Notamacropus eugenii: one gene and its partner. The protein of the gene in region 2 interacts with the protein of the main gene of each other region in a biochemical or structural test. Links are inferred from orthologs where the notes say so. Each region holds a gene or a part of one and is shown on either strand. Other genes may lie near its edges.

Evidence for each region.
Region 1: the proteins of PTCH1 (region 2) and SHH are reported together in a solved structure, tested with the Homo sapiens proteins (5 studies listed by BioGRID and IntAct, with this or other methods). The link is inferred for Notamacropus eugenii from reciprocal best matches to the Homo sapiens genes PTCH1 and SHH.

The regions. Positions count from the first base shown.
Region 1 is NC_092874.1:89,222,376-89,233,347, reverse strand, and holds the start of SHH (sonic hedgehog protein), read right to left. Parts: upstream 4,713-10,972; 5' UTR 4,276-4,712; coding exon 3,967-4,275; intron 1-3,966.
Region 2 is NC_092874.1:328,558,098-328,568,092, forward strand, and holds the start of PTCH1 (protein patched homolog 1), read left to right. Parts: upstream 1-4,929; 5' UTR 4,930-6,742; coding exon 6,743-7,165; intron 7,166-9,141; coding exon 9,142-9,334; intron 9,335-9,995.

The DNA of each region.
Region 1 (10,972 bases), about 240 Mb from region 2:
AGTGGGGAATGGGGATGGAGGCAGTGGGGGTGGAACGTGGGGATTTGGCAAGAGCCCCCCCCCCCCCATCCTTTTAATTCTTTCTGGTAAAAGGAGAAGTACCACTACCACCACCCCCATCACCACCACCTTCTCCTCCTCCTCCTCCTGCTGCTGCTGCTGCTGCTGGCTGAAGGACTCTCACTCTATACTGGCTGAGCTGGATTGTCGGAGTCAAAAGCCGTGAAGCTCAGACAATTTATTAATTCACTGGGTCGTGTGCCACGAATCAAGCCCAATTCTGTTCACTCACCGTGAAGCCCAGCAGGGCCGCCTCAGCTCGGGCTTTTGTGTCAGCCGAAGCAAAGTAGTTCAACACGCCCCAGCTCTCTGCCAAGCGCCTAACCTCTCTCTACACAAATGAATGCTCGGAGGAAAACACTTAGCAGGTACCTGTCAACTGTAAACAACTTGGTGGGTTTCCCATAAAGAGGGCCACCCTAAACTTCAAAAGATCCACAACCCGCAAAATCATACCCTACATACGTCTCCTGTCCTACTTAACTAAGAAAAAACACCCCCTCCCATCAAAGTTCCCCCTCTTCCCCCATATTTCAACATTCCCTTTCCCTAACTTGATTGCAAAGCAGACGGGACATGCGTCAATTTCAGGCCACTTCCCTACTTCCCCCTCCATACAGGTCCGACTTCCCTTACTAGCTTCCCGCTGTCCCCCTTTCAGACCATTGCCCCCCCTAAGACTGGGGACCTGACCTGCCTGAGCCTGTAAGCGATGTCCGTCTGCGTTTCCCCCTTCCCTTGAGTTAATATTAACCAGTAGCTAATGCGTTCAGGAACGGTTCTCAAAGTTCCACTGGGGAAGATCTCGCCATGGTTGAGGGACTTGTGAAGCAACACACACACACACACACACACACACACACACACACACACACACACACACGGGTGTTTGGTCTAACTCAGGGAGACCGCCTGCTGAACCCCAGTTCAGAAGACACGTCTTTGCAGAGAAACTGATCACCAGTCTTCCCATCCCCCCACTTCCAGATCAACAGGATATTATTATATCTCACAACTACACCCCAACAACAATGACTTCCTTCCCCCCCCATCACACTTTTCACTGGGGGAGCCCAGAGAACAGGATATTAGGAAGGGTGTAGGGTGGAAGAGAGAAACCAGGTGACTGGACTGAGTCCTCAGCTCTTCTTTCTTCCCACTACCATGCATTATTTTTAGGGTACTTCCATGGGGGCAGCGTTACGGGGACTTGAGTTCCCCTCCCTCCAGCAATCCTTCTGGCTCTTGCCCACCCCCCACCCCCCCCATCTTTTGTGTCGGGAACAGGACTAGCCAACGCTCTGGTGTGCGTGTGTGCGCAAGGGAAGGGGGGAACTTATTTGTTTTCGTTTCGTTCGTCTGAGGGAAGTTGACAGAAGGTCAGAAGTTCAAATGCTGCCGGCCAATGGCAGCCAGAGTGGTCAAGCCCGTAGCAGGCTTGGCGCTGAATTCCCTGGGAAGGGCTAGCAGTTGAGGGGGCGGGGAAGGACGGACAGAGGTAGACGAGGGAAAGGTCGGAGGGGGATGCAGAATCAGTGAGGTGGGGGTGAAAGGGAGAGAAGACCAGGATTCTGGAGAGGCTGGGGAAGGGGCTGCAGAAGAGGAGAGAAGGGGAAAGAAGGAATGAAAAGACGCAGAGCAGTGAAAGAGAAAGCAGACAGGCTATTAGCAGTCCTCCTTCGGAGCTTGCTCTCCAGCTATGTACCCAGCCCTTTAAAACATCTTCACCACACCCCTCCTACCTTCTCCTCCTCCTCCTCCTGCCGCCGCCGCCGCTGCCGCCTGCTCCTCCTCAACCCTCGCCTAGTCAGCCCCCCCCCAGCAGCTTTATTTAATTATTATCATTATAGTATTATTATTATTATCATCACCATCGTTCTAGTGATGCAGCTAATTCGCGGGCGTGATCTTTTAAGGGAGGGGAAGGGTTTCTTTCCTTCGGGTTTAAGAGAATCTGGACTCGTGACGGCGGCAGCGGCAGCAGCAGCAGTAGCAGCAGCCCCAGCCTCTGTCGTATTAGAAAGGATACAAGCTGAAACCCTAGCCGTGGCGATCGATAAAGAAGGAGTAAGTGGAGCTGAAAATGCGTCTGACTTGGCGTACAGCTCCGTTGCCTTGCAGCTTTTCTGAAAGGCTGCGATGACTGAGGGCTGTAAGCACCCGGGAACTGAGGTCTGGTGGGCGGTGGGGGCCAGGGATGGGTGAAACGGGCTCTCGGGCTGTCTGTCAGGCGGGCTTCCACAAACGAGAGCAACTATTAACAGGGTTCTGAGCCAGGAACCTCCGGCCCCCCACCCCCACCCCATCCTACCTCCGATCCTGAGCCATCTCACTACAGCCCAGCCCCCCGCCCCCAGTGGGTTTATGAGCAGCCAGAGGCAGGCTAGGGACAGAGGTTGGGGTTGGGGCGGAGGGAGTGAAAGCTCCTGCCCAAGCAAGCTGGCAAACTCAGTCCAGCACGCTGCACTCAACCTGCACACTGTGGCCTGTACATAATTGAGGCTCACGCTTTTATCTGCCTACAAGAGCCCGCGTCAACGCTCTAGGTAAGATTTAAGGTGGTCGAGAGCAGATGAGGAAGAGAGGCTAAGGACACCCTTTAAAATAGAAGTCATCTTTCAGGACAGTCTTTTTTCCTGCCCCTCAATAAACCGAGGACTTGGGGGATTGAATAGGGTTGGGAGGGGGGGAAATCATTACCAACTCCGACCCCCCCCCCCCAACTTTCCACCCCCACTAGTGCGGTTCCTCCAACCTCATTGCGTTGCTAGCACCAAAGGTGGGACTTAAATATTTTAATAGGGCAATAAAAATGATATTGACCTATATTTGCAAGGAAAACCATTTCCAGCTTATTAGATCTATGGAGTTTCAGAAAGTCCGTGACTGGCGGTCGAATTTGCTTTTCAGACATCTCAATGTGGGAAGGGAAGTACGAAGGGAACGTTTGTTTTGCGGTTTCTTCCTTTTTCTTTTTTTAAAGATAAAATAAATAACAAGCCTAAGATAGTTCTGCATTCCATCTTTCCACTATTCCCTTTCCCCATCCCCCACCCAATATTTATTCGGTTGTAATTCTTGAGCAATCTGATTTAAAAGAGAGTGATGCAATGCTAATAAGTTATAAGTCCCTCCCCTAAGGTACCACGGGCGACGGGAGAAAGAGAGCATCCTTAAAGAAATATCAATATATTCACACTCCGATGGGCACAATTGCAAAACGGTATTGCAATACAAGCTACATAATACAGAAATGGGAGAGCAATAGCTGTGGCTGAAGCCACACTGCCTTTTGTCAGAACAGCCTCCCCTGGCCTGCCGAATTAAGAATTTATTTGAGATGTGGGAAGAGTGGGGGTGAGAAAGGAAATAAAAATGGAGATAGAGAAAAAGTGTCTTAAGATCTAATACTCAAAGAGACAGTAATCCTGATGTGGTGGTCACTGTATATTGGGGGGGGGGGACGGATTCCCCCTTCTTCCATCTCTCTGATTTCTATTCCCTCTCCACCTCCTTTCCTCCCCAAGCAACAAGGACAGACTCAAGGAGCCGAATGCCCTAAAAGCTGAGCTCTCCCTAGCAAGTTGCATGACAGGGCTGAGACAGGATAGGAAGTAGCAGACCAATAACACAGAAATCAAATCAATGACATAAAACCCGAGCTCAACTGCACTCTCCCCACCCCCATTCCTACCCCCAAACTTCTCTAAGCTCTACTTATAATATGGATTCTTTGAGAAAGAGGAAGGGTGATGGGGTAGGTGGCTAAGGAGGGAAAGGGATATTATCTTAAAACTGAGAAGAAAAAAAGGACAGAGGCTCATTCTGTGAGCGCTTCCTTTCACATTTTCCTTGCCTTTCAAAGAAACATATTAAACGCCACACATGGATGGATGGGGTTTCTACCTGAGTCATCAGCCGGTCCGCTCCGGTGTTCTCTTCATCCTTAAATATAATGTCAGGATTGTAATTGGGGGTGAGTTCTTTAAATCGCTCGGAGTTTCTGGAGATCTTCCCTTCGTATCTTCCACTAGCCCCTAGGGTCTTCTCCGCCACGTTGGGGATAAACTGCTTGTAGGCTAAGGGGGTCAGCTTCTTGGGGTGGCGCCTCTTTCCAAATCCCCTGCCAGGTCCGCACGCCAGCCCCGAGGACATTAAGAGGGAAGAGACGAGAACCACCAGCAGAAATCTCGTCAGTAGCAGCATCTCGTCCATTGAATCCAGTTACTTCAAAGCTTCCTTGGTGTGTGTGTGTATGTGTGTGTGTGTGTGTATGTGTATATGTGTGTGTGCGCGCGCCTTTGCGCGTGTCTATCTCAGACTGTCTCCTTAGGTCTCGGTCTCTCTCTCTCTCTCTCTCTCTCTCTCTCTCTCTCTCTCTCTCTCTCTCTCTCTCCTCTCTCCCTCTCCCTCTCTCTCTCCCTCTCTCTCTCTCCTCCCTTCCTCCCTCTCTTCTCTTTCCTTTTCTCTTTTCTCCCTCTCAATAAGCCTTTGCTTCCTTGCTGATTCCTTCAACTATCCACCGATCCCTATCGAGACAGGTGCTGAAATGGCAGGCTGCCGGTCGCTGATAACGGAACACATCGGAGTTGGGTCGCGAGACAGCAATCAAAAGACAAAAAGACTCTGATTTTAATGGTAGCAAGCCTAGAAACGCTTGTGAGAGAAGCCTGCCTTTAGCACTATATTATAGCTGGCAGGGACCACATCTGATTGGCCGAGGCGAGACAGCCTGTCTTCTGATTTAACCCTCAAAAAGGCAACAAAATGTTTCTTCTGTTGCTGCTGCTGCAGCTTGCTGCTGCTGCTGCCGCCGCCGCACTTTCACCTGAGGGCTTGGGCGGGGGGGGTGGGGGGGTGTAGAGGGGGGGGGGGAAGAAAAAAGAAAAGAAAGGGGGAGGGGAAGAACACAAAGTGAATTGTATCGTAGTGAGGTAGAATCTGATTTATTAGGATAACATAAATTACATGATTTTTCTTCTTAAACTTTCCTGAGAAAGGTAAATTTGTCAAGTAAAGTAATAGATGCTTCTGTTAGACAACCTTTTAGGAAGTTTCATACGAGTGCAATTTTTAAAGACAGTTCATTCTTCCTTCTGTCTCATTCCCCTCGCCCTTCACTCCCAGTCAAACCTTGATCATCAGACAAATGTTCAATGAAAACCATGAGTGCAACACGGCTGATTTATACAAATCCCTTTTAGTGACTTTATCAGGAAGGCAAGATTTCTCTCTCTCTCTCTCTCTCTCTCTCTCTCTCTCTCTCTCTCTCTCTCTCTCTCTCTCTCTCTCTCTCTCTCTCTCCTTCTCCCTCTGTTTAAAAGCAACAATATCTTTCCACAAGAGGGAAGAGCCTTTGGCCACTGAAGAAAGCATCCTTGGAAGTAGACTAAGGTTAGCTGTGGACTTAGAAGTGTGTGTGTGGGGGGGCGAGTGTGATTATAACTGGAAATGTCTGAGAGGACTGTTACTTGAAATACTTTAACTGTTAACACAAAATGCTTGAAACACAGTCAAAGTTGAAATAGATGTACACCTCTTCAAACCTTGCAGAACAGGAGAGTGAGAGAACAGATGCCCTGGCACCAGGTCATACTACCCAGTGCCCAAACTAAAGTGGTGTGTTCAAGCTAAGAGGTATTAGGGAACTAGACCCCCCCCACCCCCACCCCAGCTCCAAGAAGAAGGGAATGGGGGGGGGAGGGAAGCGGTGTGGGAAGAGAGTTATTTCCTCTTGAAGGACAGCAATCTTTTGGTAGAGCTTCGCAAACAGCCCCACAGATCGATCGGAGCAAAGTGCAGGGCAAGGGGATGAGTTTAATGTTAAATTCAGGGCTCTCTTCAGCGTAGTGCAGCGATGTCTTTATTCTGGGCTCCCAAAATTATCTGCCAGACCTAAAGTGACTAGAGAGAAGCCGAGTCGCTGGAAATCGGAGTTGGGGTGGGGTGGGGGCAGGAGGAGGCTTAATTCAAAAGCATTTTCTCTAAGGAACAGTCACGTCCCTTTACAAGAAACAACTCCCAAACCAGCAGCATTGGCCTTAGATCTCTGAATCTTTACAAAGTCAGTTCCTTGTACCTCCACACTCATTTCAGAGAAAGTTCCATTTAAATCAGAAAAACATGGAATTTCTAAGCGTCCCATTTGAAGAACATGGTATTTCTTATTTATTCTTTTTGAAAAGAAAAAAAAAGACTACTACTGGGGTGGAAGGAACTGAGGGTCGTAGGAGTACATATGAGAGATAGAACTAAAACTATACACTAAGAAATAATCAGATACTCTGAAAGAAATGAGACCAAAAAAAAGAATACAAATATGTGGGATGGGGAGAAGAAAGTAAATAAAGGTCTCCCAGACCTCAAAGTTTTAACTCCCTCGGCAATGCGGTAAATTGGGTAGGTCTATGAAATATTCCATCGCAATAACCTTTGAGGAGGGGGTAGTGGTGGAAATTAACACTCTTATGGCATTTCCAAAATGGGACACAAGCTCTTGCCTCTTCCCGCCTCCCGTTTTTTTTTTTTTTAATAGTCCCCTCCATTCAGATCTTTACAAAGTACAAAGCCTGGTCCCCCTATCCTACGACTCAGGAAGAGATCTGAACAGGCCCTGGGTAGCTGGAAAACACCTTCCCAACTCTATCAATTAAAGGACGGATCTGTGTTAAAAGTTCCCGGGTTAGCTCCAGACAGATAGACCTCAGCTGACAAGTCGGTGTTTTAACTTTTTGCAGTGTGTGTGTGTGTGTGTGTGTGTGTGTGTGTGTGTGTGTGTACTCAACCCGTGAAAATAGATACAAGAAAGATATAACGTTATATCCCAAAGAAGGTATGGTCGTTTGATGTGGTTACCTGGCGCAGCACGTGTTGATGTAATATGATTAAATAGTGCCAGGGAATAAGAAGTGATCCTGCCTGTGTGGAATATTGCACACCTTTTGATCACCCTCCCCCGCCCTGGCACGTCTCTCTCTTTCCTTCCCCTCCCTTTTTCCACCCCCGCTTCCCCGCCCCACCCCCAACTTCACAAATAAATAAATTAATTAATTAATAAACACATCACTTGATCGCTTTTCCCCACTGGCCACTTCATTCGCGAGCCCGGCAGTGAAGGAGTGAAGTCTAGAATCCCGGGGAACCTCCTCATTAGCCGGCTTTCCATACATACAAAGCAGTCAGCCAGAGAGCAACAGGCAAGGAAAGAGGAGGAATTAATTAAATGCAAATCATAAATGCACGTGGAAAAACCCCAAACCGACAACATAGAGGGTTGGCTTTTTACTTTTTTATTTTTTTATTACCGTGTGTGTGTGTGTGTGTGTGTGTGTGTGTGTGTGTGTGTGTGTGTGTGTGTGTGTAAAAGCCAAGAGTTGAAAATCTCAAGTCAGAAGTTAGAGAAAGCGGAGGTCTGGGTGGGAGGGGAAAGGGTCGGGGTTGAGCATGCTGCAGTTTCAGTTTGCGTCCCCAGCCCAGATTCTGAGATCTGGCTGAACTGCTGCATTGCCTCTTCCTTCTCCGTCTCCCTAAGAGAGGACAGGCAGGGGACCCAGCTTGGCGTGGCCCATCGGATAGCTCAAAGGTTGATTTAAAGTCGCCAGGATCCCTCACAGCTTCTGTCGGTAGCAATGCGACATCCCTGCCTTCTCCCCAATCCTCCCTCCCAGTATCTTCCTCTCCTCCACCTTCCCCTACACCGGGAAAGAATGATGTCAGGAGCTGGATGGATTGTCAAGTCTTAAAATAATGATGAGGGTAATGAGGATGAAGGGAAAGCCCAGACAGGATCCAATACTGATGCCCTCGTCAGTTGCATCGATCTCTCGGTCATGAATTGGGGTGTGGAGGGTGGTAAAAGGAGAAAACAAAATAAAAAAAAAAGATTCCACAATGCTCACAGTCTCATCGTCTAAGAAAACCGAGGGTCTGGTTGTTTCTTGGGAAACACTTTCAGTCAAAGTGCTGGAGGTGGATGAAGCAGGGGCAAACAGCTCCTCTTCGTCCCAGACCCCTCCCCCTACTGTCTCTCTCCCCCCTCCTTTCATCTCACCGACACCCTTCCCATTTCCCAGACACCAGACACTCTTTCTGTCTTCCACCTCCAGACACCAGATGGCTCTCTCCCTTTTCCTCCCCCACCCACTTCCAGACAAGCCAGGCCCCTCCCTTTGCCTGACTGTCAGTCCCAAATCCCAGCCTATTCCTTCTGCCTGTCAGCAAGTCCCATTCTCTGCTTCCACTCCACCTGGGTTTCCCCCATCCATCCATCCATCCATCCATCCATCCATCCATCCATCCCACTAGAGGACAGGTGACCTCCCTTTGGATTCTACCCCCAAGCCCCCAGATGGCGCCCTTCCTTGAAACAGCTCCTACTGTCTCCCCCTTTCAGCCCCAGACACTAGATGGCCCCCTCACTCTGCCTTCAGATTAAACATGGAGGGCTCAAGCCTTGGCCTGGTTTTCCAAACCAAAACAAGGTGCCTGAGATAACCTGGAGGCCCTGGGAAGATAGGCTGACCTTTGTCATGGAAATCCTTGAGAAGATAGACTGACCCTCCCACTCCACTGCCCTCTTCCCCAACCATCATCATGCCACCTGTACTTTCTCTTTATCCCATGAGATTTATGCTGGAGTGCTCTAATGCTTCTCTCCATTTACCTCTATTTCCTAGTCTCCAGCTCCAACGTTACATTTACCAATTGGGATAACCTCCTCCTCCCCTTTGGCATCTCCATTAGTTCTGTACATTCTCCTTCCCTTCAGTAATGATCATCTCAATCTTGCCTCAGCTTCATCAGCTCTGATTTCCATCAGTCCTATATTTCCCCTTCTGTGCTTCTAACTCCCCCCGCCCCACCACTGCCTACTCTTAGGGTTGCCTTGTATGCATTTCTGAGGAAAGCATCTGACCCTTACCTCCATAAAGTAGATGCCTCCATAGGGTATAGAGGTGACAGTGGGTTCTCCGAGGCTAGACCAGCAGAAGGAAGTCCTGGAGGGTCCTACCAAGCTGAAAAGCCCAGTCAATGCTTCTGTCAACCAAGGACTTAGATATGTTTTAAAAGACTCATCATCTCAAGATAGGATACTAAGTTATGCTTTTTTCCTACTATAGCAATGAATAAATGAATGGATAAAGCATTTATTAAACACTTTAATGTGATACAAAGAGACAATGAAAATAGACTGATCTCAAATTCACTAAGAATGAAAGGTTTCAGATTCAAGTCAAATAGAAAAGTCCCATGCTCCTCAGGGTGCCATGACAAAGCAGACATTAATGCTTCTTGAATGTCATTCTATCAATTTCTGATGTTGAACTATTTGTCAGTGCCAAGGACTTTGGTGGTAAGAACTTTCTTTTCTAGGTCTTTAATAGCTTGACTGCAGCACTTGTAGGAACAGTTGCCAGGCTGCATTTCCACAAGGACTGCTTCCCAGAATGATGGCTGAGATGGTTGAGGGCACTAGGCTGGAAGCATTGCTGTTTCCAAAACTCTTGGGCTCAGGCTTCTGGACTGCCTCCATCAGGGTCTGAAGGGAGATGGTTGCCAAGGTGGTGGTGGTTGTTTGACTTGCTTGTCTTTCTCTTAGGGTGCTTGATTCAGTAAGACTGGCTTTCCTGTCAGTCTGGGTGATAGATAGTTACTTTTGGAGACTGTCTACTAAGGGGTCACATTTTTTTATTAGTGACAGAAATACACAAATGAAATCATACATCCAAGAAGTGCTACTCAACTCATAATTTTGGCAGTTCCCTTCACCATGGCAGTTCCCAAGATCAAAGAATATAGAGATTATCAAGTCCAGAAGTTTTTAACCTTTTTTGTGTCTTGGACCGTTTTTGGCAGCCTGGTAGTCTATAGCTCCCTATTCAGATTAATGCTATTAAATGCATAAAATAATATACACAGGATGATAAAGGAAACCAATTATATTGAAATACAGTTACCAAATGATGAAAGAAACAAGTTCACAGACCCCAGCTGAAGAACCTCTGGTTATAAGTCCAGCTCTCTAATTTTATAGATCAACCAATCCATAACCATTTAGCAGGCTCCAACTATGTTCTAAGCCCTGGTCTAGGCCCAGGATACTCAAATAGATCTGTGATCTCATAGATTTTGAAATTCCCTCCAGCAGTGCATTAGCAGCCCATTCATGTCTGCCAATTCCATTCTACTTTGGTCCACATCTTTCTATATGTTTGCCACAGGGAGTTCACCTAATATATTAGAGGCCTTCCTCAATTTCTTCTTACATTGTAAGGGTACCACGGAAGCACTCTCTTATCTTGATACAGGCAGGACCAAACCATTCCTTTCATATAATTAATTCCTTGGTAACATTTCTTATTCTTTTTCTTCAGAATTCCTCAGTGATTATTTCTTGCAGCCACCTCATACCCACCAGGAAAGTCTCCATTGCCTTTTATGATATTAATTTTTGATTCTTTGGAGAAAAGCTATTATATATATCTGCCATACAGCAGTATTGGTAGAATGTTGATATTTAAAAGATAGGCTTTTGCTTTCATGGGAAACTTGGAGTCATTAAAGAAACCTGACAATTTTCAAAGACTTTCTTTTCTCCTGTTCAACTGGGTCCCATTAGCTGTTCATTCTTGAAACAAAGGTACTCAGAATACAAAGACAGAAATGAAACAGTCCTTGAATTCAAAGAACTGCCAACGTGCTTCCAGGGAGAAAGAACCTTGGCTCTGGAGTTCACAGGCACTGTCTCTGACATGTACTACCTTTGGACCCTTAAGGAAATCACTTTATTTCTCTTGGACCTTAGTTTATTTATATATAAAATGAGGGTTTTTTAAAATTAATTATCCTCTGAGGTATTTTTTAGCTCTAGAGCTATGATCCCAATAAAGCCTTTTTTAATGTATGTAGTCAG
Region 2 (9,995 bases):
TGCAGAAGTGTATGTGGGTATATATACATATATATATAAGTATGTATATATAGATTGTAGCTAGCTATATAAATATCTATACATATATCAGTTTCAATATCTGAATCTATATTTTGTTCTGGTTGCATTCAATAATGACTCCAAATACATCAAAGTAACAGAGTCAGAAAGATATTCCGCAAGAGAAAAAAACACCCACACCACAATCATTTCTGTGTTTTATTCAAAACTGCTTTGTGGACAAGCCTTATTGCAGCTGATGAGATCTTCAGCAGTCTTGAATTCCCTGCCATTGTGGCTACTGCAGGAAGTATAATTCCCACTACATTTTAATATTTGGGGTGCCTTCACTAATAACCTTGGTCTGATGAATGCGGAGATATCTGGGATGCTGGTGGGACATTTCTCTACCCCCCACCCCTCTCTGGGAGCTCAATAAATGCCAATGCTCCTGGGTTTGTGCTGTAGATCTCTCTTTTACTCCTTTGTAGAGTTTGGGGCAGCTTCCCATTAAAGGAGATCAGGGGTAATTAGCAGCATTATTTTGACAAGTTGGGTCGAGCTGTTCCCTTTCTTACATCCCTGAGCAGGGGGAGAAGGGGAGGGGGTAAGTAGAGGAAAAGAGAGTGGGGGAGGGAGAAGGAGGTCAAGCCCAGTGTCTTGAGATTCTATGGCAGCTGAATACTTTCTTTTCTCAACCCTGAAACTTTTTAGAACCATTTGGTCTAATTTCTGTCTCTAGGCTCCACCTTTCAATTCCTTCAAGAGAACTTGTAAGGAAATACACAAACATTTATAAGGAGATAATATGGCATTGTTAAGGAGCAAGAAATGCAGCAAATAGTGGAACACTAGATTGTCAAGACTCCTGGGATCTGTTTGAGACATCTCAACGCCTAAACTCATTTTCTGTCCTTGGGCAACTCACTGGACGTTTGTATTTGTTTTATCGTCTACAAACCGAAATTATGCTATTACTATGCCCTGTGAAACTGACAGCAATATTGTAAGGAGTAGTGTGTTACGTCAAAAGTTCTTTGCATTTCTGAAAAGTAAATGCAATATAAAAAGCAAAGTATTACTATTGCATTTTATTAGGTTAGAGATGGTTGAAATTAAGCAAATGAAATTCATACTGAAAACTGTGAATTATAAGACAAATGCATTGGGCATACTTATTCATATGTTGTTTACATGGATGGCATTACACAAAAGGCAGCTTATGGTATCATACAAACACCACGTTATCAAGTATTGAAGTCCAAGGGTTACATTGAACATCCAAAGAGTAAGGAGGGAACAACATTCCAAAAGGTAACTGGAAGATCATTCGGGGGTTCATAACCATACTCTGTTCTGTTCCTCTATTTAGCTATATCTTGCTTTGCTCACTTCACTCTGTAATATTCAAACACAGAGGCCAGGCGTTTTGTTGTCCATGTCCTATTGAATTTGGATAATCAAATGTAGATTTCAGAACTGTGTTGTAGGACCATGGGAAGTTAAAGTGTTAGAACAGAGAAAGGGGGAATGAAACACAAGGAGGGATTCTTCAGTTCACAGAATTTAACTGAAGTCTTTGGACCACAAGGGAAGAAAAGTTAACCCATGTATTGAAATATGGTCTAAAAGGAATATGAAAGGAGGCAAATCAGATGTTTCTTCATCTATACTGAAAAGTTCTGCCAGTCCACAAGGTCTCAAGTGATCACGTGTTTGACAGATCTACAAGGGAAGCTAAGGAATAAAGGCTATTCTTCAAGGACTCTCACTGAGAGACACCTTAGCAGGCCCTGTTCATCCAAACCAGCTCCATATCAGGTCTGTGGGATCCTTGTGATTAGTTGAAGTTAACAAAACCTGGTGTCGAGCAGCAGTTACATGCACAGGGCATGCATATTAAAGCCAACAATGCTTACAAATGTAAATAAGGGCAGATTGATTAAGAACAACATTATCGCTGGGAATGTAGCACTCGCATGCATCAGCAATGAGGCAAATTGGGGGCAGCCTCAGCCCTGACCACCCATGTTGAGACAGGCTTTTACACTGGCACCTCTTCCTTTTTAAAAAACATTGCAGAAACCAGGCCAATTAGATCCCCAAAGTAATTCATCTCTTGTGTATGAAAAAAGCAGACCACAGGGGGAGAAGAGAAGGGAAGGGATGGGAGAGAGATTAAGATAGTGCTTGTTAAATCTGAGGTTCCAGATTGAGTTTGGGAACCAGTGAGAAGAATATACCAGCAGGGCATTGTCTAAGATCATGAAAAGTTAACCTATCAAACAGGAGGCAAAGAGGGGTGGTAGAAAGGCGTCATGTATTTTAAACTTCAGGCATCAATATTCAAAGTATTTCGAAATAAAGTAAGACTGAATGAAATTAACATGGAAGGATGACATCTTACTCTTGAAAGGATACCAGTGTAGAAGCAGAAGAATGTTTCTTCCATGTAAAAATGAACTAATATTCACTACCATATCTTCCTTGAGTGTGGTACTCTAAATATTAAACAACATTAAGAAACAATGAATATTAACTTAAATGATCAATGAGATAACATTCAGACAAAAATTTTGATACAAAAATTTTAAGAATTTGAAATGTGATTTATGATATAGTTGCTTTATCTTCAGCAGCTGAAGAAACATGCAAACCTCTACACTCTTATACGTATGTGGTAACATCTGATTGTCCTAACAATCTGTATTAGCTCTGTTACTTACCATTAGGACCTTGGGCAAGTCACAACCTCTCTGGGCATCTGTAAAACTAAGAGCTTTGAAGTATCTTCCAGCTCTAAATATATGGTCCTCTCCTATAAATGAGTCGAAATGAGAGATAGCCTCAACATTGACAGAAGTTATTGAAAATGTACACTGAGCACTTCTTAATATAACCTGAAATCTTGGCTGGCTCATACAGTATGTGACATCAATACAATTTGATGGTGCTTCTCAGATTTTAAAAGCAATTTTCACTATAAGATTAATTTTTCATATTACAGCTTTGTCATGTATTAATACAAAACTTCCTGCAATCCTGTTTAGTTCCAACACTATTCTGTCTTTTATTTACACTGTTTGATCATACTGGCTTTTTAAGAGGTCTTGTTGTAGATAATGCCTACATCTACAGTGAATTGCCACATACTAAAATGATGTCCCAGTTAAGACATTCAATTTTAAATTTCCCGGCTGCCTGGCTACTCTTCCTTTTATGATATGAAACCGCCCACGTACATCTGTGCCCCATCTCATCTTTGAGAGTGTCACTTTGTGAAAGCCCTTCTTATAAGTGAGGTTTCCTTCTACCTCTTCTGGGTCAGGACTATGACTGAGGAAGAAAGAAAAACTGGTTCCAAGAGTAAATTAGAGGAAGGAAAGGGGAGAAAAGGAAAGAAAGAAGGAAAGAAGGAAGGAAAGAAAGAAGGAAGGAAGGAAGGAAGGAAGGAAGGAAGGAAGGAAGGAAGGAAAGAAGGAAGGAAGGAAGGAAGGAAGGAAGGAAGGAAGGAAGGAAGAAATGGGGTCTAGGAAGAGGATGGGGGAAAAGATGAAAGGCAAAGGAAAGAAAGGAGGGATAGGGAGAGAGAGGGAGAGAGAGGAGAGAGAGAGAGAGAGAGAGACGTCAACAAGCAGTTTTTAAACCTATGTGCTCAGCACTGTACAAAGCGCTGGAAATACAAAGAAATGCAAGAAAACGAGTTAGGGAAAGATGAAAAAGAGAAAGCTATGCATCAGTAAGGAGGAAGAGAAAGAAAAGAGGGAAGGAGTGGCACTGAGACATCCTAGGAACTGAAGGAAGGCGCCGGATTCTTTCTGCCAGAGCCGCGTGCGCTGGAATCAGCGGGCTTGTCTCTCCACCGGCCGGCAGCCCGTGACATCTTCCAAGACTTGGGGCAGAATTGAATGGAAATGTTTCCTTTCTTTGCTGCTATTGGCCGGTAGTAGTCAAGCCTCGTTGGTATTGGGTAACGTAAAGGGGGAAGAGACCTCCTTTAGGAATGTACTATGGCTTGTCTGGCATGCCTTTCGGCACCGGCAGCGGCGCATAACTGGGGTGGGAGGGGCAGCCTTCCCCTTTTTCCTCCGGCTTCTTAACGACACGAACTCCTTGGAGCGGGGAGGGAAAAGGAAGGAGGAAGGAAAAGAGTAATGAAAATCCCGATGGACGTGCCCCGACTGGGTGAATCCCAAAGCCGGGCAGGCAGCGAGGGTACTCTCCCTTTCCGCTCCTGCCTTGTCACTTGCCTGTCCAGCGGCGTGAGTTCCCTCCACCCCCAGCCCCCCGCCTCCTCACGCTTGGACACGCACGCACGCACGCACCCCCAGGCAGGGGAGCTGGTAGATCTGCAGCAGCTCCAGAGGACTGGGGCTCAGCTCCCGGCTCGTTGGTCACGTGGCCTCGCCCAGACTCCACCTCCCCGCTGCCTCGCCCCCTCCCCCTCTTCATCCCCGCCCCTCCTACTTTCCCTCCATCTGGGGTTCTTTCTTTTCTCTCCTTTCCTTTCTTTCTTCTTTTTTTTCAATGAACACACACCGAGTGCACCTTAAAGCAACACTCCCCTATTTCGCTGCCTCCATCAGCACAACATCCCGCTAGTTTCCTCGCAATGCAGTCGAGTTTAAAAAAAAAGAAGCTAGTGCCCTGATCGCCACTGCGGGGAGAAATTTCATAACTTGCAAAGCTAAGGGGGAAAACAAAAACAAACACCAAAAATCCCACCCACGTTCTTAAAAAAAAAAAAAAGCGGTCGAGCCAGCCTAGTTTCTGAGACATTTTGCAAGGCAAGCCCCTACTGCTGGCAAATTAACCATGTACGCTTCCAAAAGGGGCTATTTATCCCAATGGGAAAGTAAAGCCTAGGATGTCTTCGTGACCTTAGCTAAAGCGTCGGGATGGGTACTTACAGTCAGTGCACAATTTGTTTCGAATGAATTCAACATCAAAGCCTTTATTCCTCCCTACGTCACGCTATTACTAAATATATAGAGGATGCGTACCGCTTTTTAAAAAGTCAGTTCGCAACTGACTTTAAATAAATATGTACGCGTACTAAAAGGGGGTCAGAATGAAGCAAACTGAGTGGCAGTAACTTTTTTTCTTTTGAAGGAAATAAGACAATTCAATTTTGCCAAAATTTCAAATGACTCTCTTTTTAAACTATGCGATCATTTAGATTCAAATAAAAACAGCCCCCCCCCCCCAACTCCCATATACAATTGCTGCGGGTGTCTGGATGCTATAGTATAAATCACTAATTTCTTCCTTGAATATAGTAAGTGTTTAGGGGGAGGGGGCTGGTGTAGGCAGGGGATTTGGAGGCGGTTGTTGTTTTTTAAGGTTCTTGTGTTGTATTATTTAACTTTCCGTTTTGTTTATCTTTAATGTATGGCGTATTTCTCTTGCGAGAGACCGTCTTCCTTTTAGTTATAAAAGAAAGCGGCGGGGGGGGGGGGGGGGGGGTGGAATTGGCACGCACTACCTCGGTATCCACCACCCTGTCATTATTGGTTCAAGCCTGGGAATTCAAGTCGGACCTCCCAGTATTTGCTACAGCTTGAGGCCAAGGTGCCTCTGAATAGATTTTCTTTTTAGGAGTTTCTGAAATTCTTTAAGCGCTTTAAAAAATATTACTTTTTTTGTACATCGCGAGGTGTGTGTGTGTGTGTGTGTGTGTGTGTGTGTGTGTATGTGTGTGTGTGTGCGTGCAAAAAAAAGCGTCTCATAAAAAGAAGACACTTTTCAAAAGAAAAGGAAGGGGGGAGCATTCCTTAATGGAAGTATTGCATGCAAGAAGGTTGGAGCTCTTTAAGGCTCCCCTTGAAGCTGGGGATGCACACACTAGGGTTGCCTGCCTGGGTGGTCTCTCTACTTTGGTGAGCTGTTGCTAAGCAGCTAATAATAGTCATGTTTGCTGAGTAATTTCTGCCCTCCTTGAGCCAATCACATCGCAGAAATCCTAGCCATCTGACAGCCCCAGGGGCGGGAGCTCCAGCCTTTTTCTCTCTCGCTGGCTCTCTCCCCCTCCACCCCCTCCCCTCCTCCTCCTCTTTCTCCAAATGGAGAGAGTTCTTTTTTTTCTTCTTCCATCTCATCTATTGAATCAAGGAGCTGCTGCTGCTTGCTGCACACACGCAGACTGGAGTCCCAAAGTCCCGGGAGTCAGAGACCAGCGCTGCACTGAAACAGAATGGTACAGCGAGTCGGCAAGGAGCAGAAGCCAGAGCCAGAGTCGAAGGAGCAATCCCAGCAGCAGCCTCCGCCTCCAGCAGCAGCACCAGCGAGAGCAGGAGCAGCAACTCCCCAGCAGCACTGAGAAGAGCAAAGGAAGCTCGGATTCTGCCGTGGCTTTTTGCTTTCTTCCCGGAGAACCAACTCAAGAAAAGGAGCCGAGGGAGAAAGCCCCGGTGGCGGGATCTCTGGGGGTTTCCTCACATTTTCCCAAGTAAAAGGGTCTGGAAAAGGGGGCAAACAAGGAGCGAAGGAAGCGGCGGTGGGGATTGTTTGGTGGTGGTGAAGGAGACACCGGGGGGAGGGGGGGGCAAGCAGGAAAGAGAGAGGCTCGCCCCCCGTGCGCGCACACACACATACGGATCCCTCTCACCCTCTTCGCGAACTGGATGTGGGAAGCGGCCGCAGCAGAGACCTCCGGATCACCACGAAATGTTGCAATGGAAGGCACAGGTCCTGACTCTTCTCCAACAGCAGCAGCGGCAGCAGCAGCAGCAGCCCCCGCGGTATGAGGAGGTCTGTCAGCAGCAGCAGCGACCACAGCAAAAGCCGGAGCCACCCGCAGAAAGAAGCGTCCTCCGGAGCCTACTCCCCGGCATCACCAGCCAGCTCCAGCAGCGCGCCGTGGTGGTGGTGGTGGTGGGGGAACCGAGACAAGCCAGCCCGCCTGATGCGGGAGCAGCAGGGGCAGCTCAGTCACCGCGGCGGCGGCGGCGGCAACATGGCCTCAGCTGTTAACATTGCGGAGCCTGAGAGCGGCGGCGGCGGCGGCAGCGGAGGCTGCGGCAGAGACCCCAGTCTGCCTGGGGGAAACGGCAGCAGGAGGCGGAGAAGGACCGGGGGGAGCCGACGTGCCGGGGCACCAGACCTGGAGTATCTGCAGCGGCCGAGCTACTGCGATGCGGCTTTCGCGTTGGAGCAGATTTCAAAGGTGCATTTCTGTATTTCTTTTCCCTCCTTCTGGACTTCCCTCGCATCCCTTTCCATCTTCTCCTTTTTCTCTTTGGAAGCACCCGTACGAATACACACACTCCCCTCTTTTGGATAAAGAAATAGACTAGGGGAAATGAAAAACCCAAACACACCCACCAGCTTTGGAAGGAAAGGGATGTCTAACTAATGCAGGGGGTGGAAGTGTGTGTGTGTGTGTGTGTGTGTGTGTGTGTGTGTGACTGTGTAACGTGCTCTCCCTGTCTAGTGTACACTTTCTGGGTCATTCGAATTATTCTCCCATTAAACCAATCCAGAAAAAGACTTAAGGTTGGTACTGGCTCTCTCTCCCTCTATCCTTTCTCTAGGTTGGCTTTTCTCTCTCTCTCCTCTAATGCTGCCACATTTCTTAACATATTTTGGGGGTGGGGGTGGAGGGAGGCGGGGAGAGGAAGGAGGAGGGGGTAGAAATAAAGGTGGTTTCCTTTTTTGGCAGCCCGTTTTGCTTTTGTTAAGCTTTGAGTAAGCGTGAAATCTCAAATCCTTTAAAAATCGCCTTTGAGGAGAAGATATTTTCCCTTCTCTTCTTTTTGACCGGTTTACCCTGACCTCCAACTCGTAGGAAAAGTGAAAGTTGTAAACAAATTGCCACCTTAAATCTGCGGTGCAGGTCTGACTGAGTCGCCGGGTTCATTGTGTTCGTTACTCTTACTGAAATGTGTGGAATCCAGGAATTCCGTGTAAACATATTGTAGCAGAGAGAATCCCCGGTTACTGATTCTGAAGAAGAAATATCTGCGAGAATAAACAACGCCCAGATATTTCCCTTTCCATAAACGTTATTTTCCTTTCAGAGAGCAGATTTTTTAAAATGCTTCAGCAAGAAGGGAAAGGGGAGGGAAAAAAATCCATGTGGCTGCCCTCTTCTGTTCACAAATATTGTCGTAACTTACAGATGGCTGCTCTACTTCTTAATTCAGATCACACAGCGTCTCCTAACTCTATGGAAATGAATCACGATTAAGCTATGATCTTGCAGCATTGCCCGCCACGTGGATCTTGCGTTTTACTACAAAGTTGGTGTTGAAGGCTGTGGGAGCTGGGCTGAGGAAATGGCAACAAATCAAATTGTTATCAAATAGCATCCTGCCTCCCCACCATCCACCCCTTTAACCACCGCATCCTAGAGACACAGCAAGATGGGAGGTGGGGGAGAGTGGAGAGGACCAGGTGTTTATTCTTGTGGTCCTTGTCTTAGCCGATTGCAATTCACTTATGTTAATTAATTAATTAATTTGTATTAATTTTCCGTGCCGCTGCCGTCCCCCTTCCCCACTGTAAATATTCTAGTATCAATGATTTCTTTCCTCCGGACCAACGATCGCGCGCGCGCGCGCGCGCGCGCGCACACACACACACACACACACACACACACACTCACACTCACATATACACACACAGCCAATGTCTCCTTCCCTGCCCTCAGACACCCCAGGACTCCTAGTAGAGTCCCAGAAGGAGGTGCTTAGAGGCACGCTCACTCACAGTCTTGATACAGATTTCACTCAGAAGCCAGGCTTTGATTTATGAATAACTCATCCCACTCCCACACTCCGCCCCTCTGGCCAGACTCTCACCTTATTCCTTACCACGCTTTCAGAAGGGAACCGTCCAACACTAGCTAGTGTCCTTGTGGTTGGGTTAACTAATTCATTTACCTTTTACAGTGTGAAAGTTATTTTGCTTATGCACTCGAAATACGTTTTCCTCCTCTTTCCCACTCTCCAGACAAGACTTCTTCACTTACAGCAAGTCCGTCTCGACTCTCCCAAGTCCTGCCAAAAGATTGAGTGTGTTTGTGTCTTGTAGGGGGTGAAGGAGAGGCGCACCCCCAAAGCACAAACATTGTTGTATACAGTGCTTAAGTGTATATGGTGATTTCGAAGCACTTATTCCTCATATTTCCTTGCATTCCAGGGGAAGGCTACCGGCAGGAAAGCGCCGCTGTGGCTGAGAGCGAAGTTTCAGAGACTATTATTTAAACTGGGTTGTTACATTCAAAAAAACTGCGGCAAGTTTTTGGTTGTGGGCCTCCTTATATTTGGGGCTTTCGCTGTAGGATTAAAGGCAGCTAATCTTGAAACCAACGTGGAAGAGCTTTGGGTGGAAGGTAAGAGACCCAGCACGTTCTATTGCTTCCTTTTATTTCCATTCAATTGATAGAGATATTTACGAGACTATACCTAAAGTCTTTTAAAAAATCCTCCCTACACCAGGGGGAATTGTTTATTGTTTAGAAGTTTGGCCGGATGCCAGATAAAACCTACAAAGAGTTTGCTGTAATCTATTCTGGTCCACAGTGTTTTGCTAGGTGGTGTGGGAGATTGTGTGGAGAGCGAAAGGTGGGGGTGAAGGGGGGGAGGAGGTTGCAGCTCCTTGGGATAAACCATTTTTAGGGGGGAAGTGTCTTGGGACTGATTTAGGTGTTGAGTGTTCTCTTTCAAATCTGGAGAGACTTGAATGAAAAAAAGTTCTTTTTCTTTTATATTACATTCCTCTCCATCAATCTCCCTTTTTCTTTCCTCTCCCAAAAAGAGACTTACAAGTGGGGGAAGAAAGACCACCCCTCCGCCATTTTGGAAGTGTGTGTGTCCCCAGCAGCGGAGGCTGCTGCTGCCTCTGGAGCTGCTGGAGGAGGGAGAACGTGATGAGCGCAGGCCTGCAGAGGCTGCGTGTGTGGTCCTGGTTTTGGACAGCTTTCAACTCTGGGGGAAAAAAACATTTGTCTCAAGGTTAAAAAAGAGAGAGAGAGGAAAAAAAGTAAAGCACAG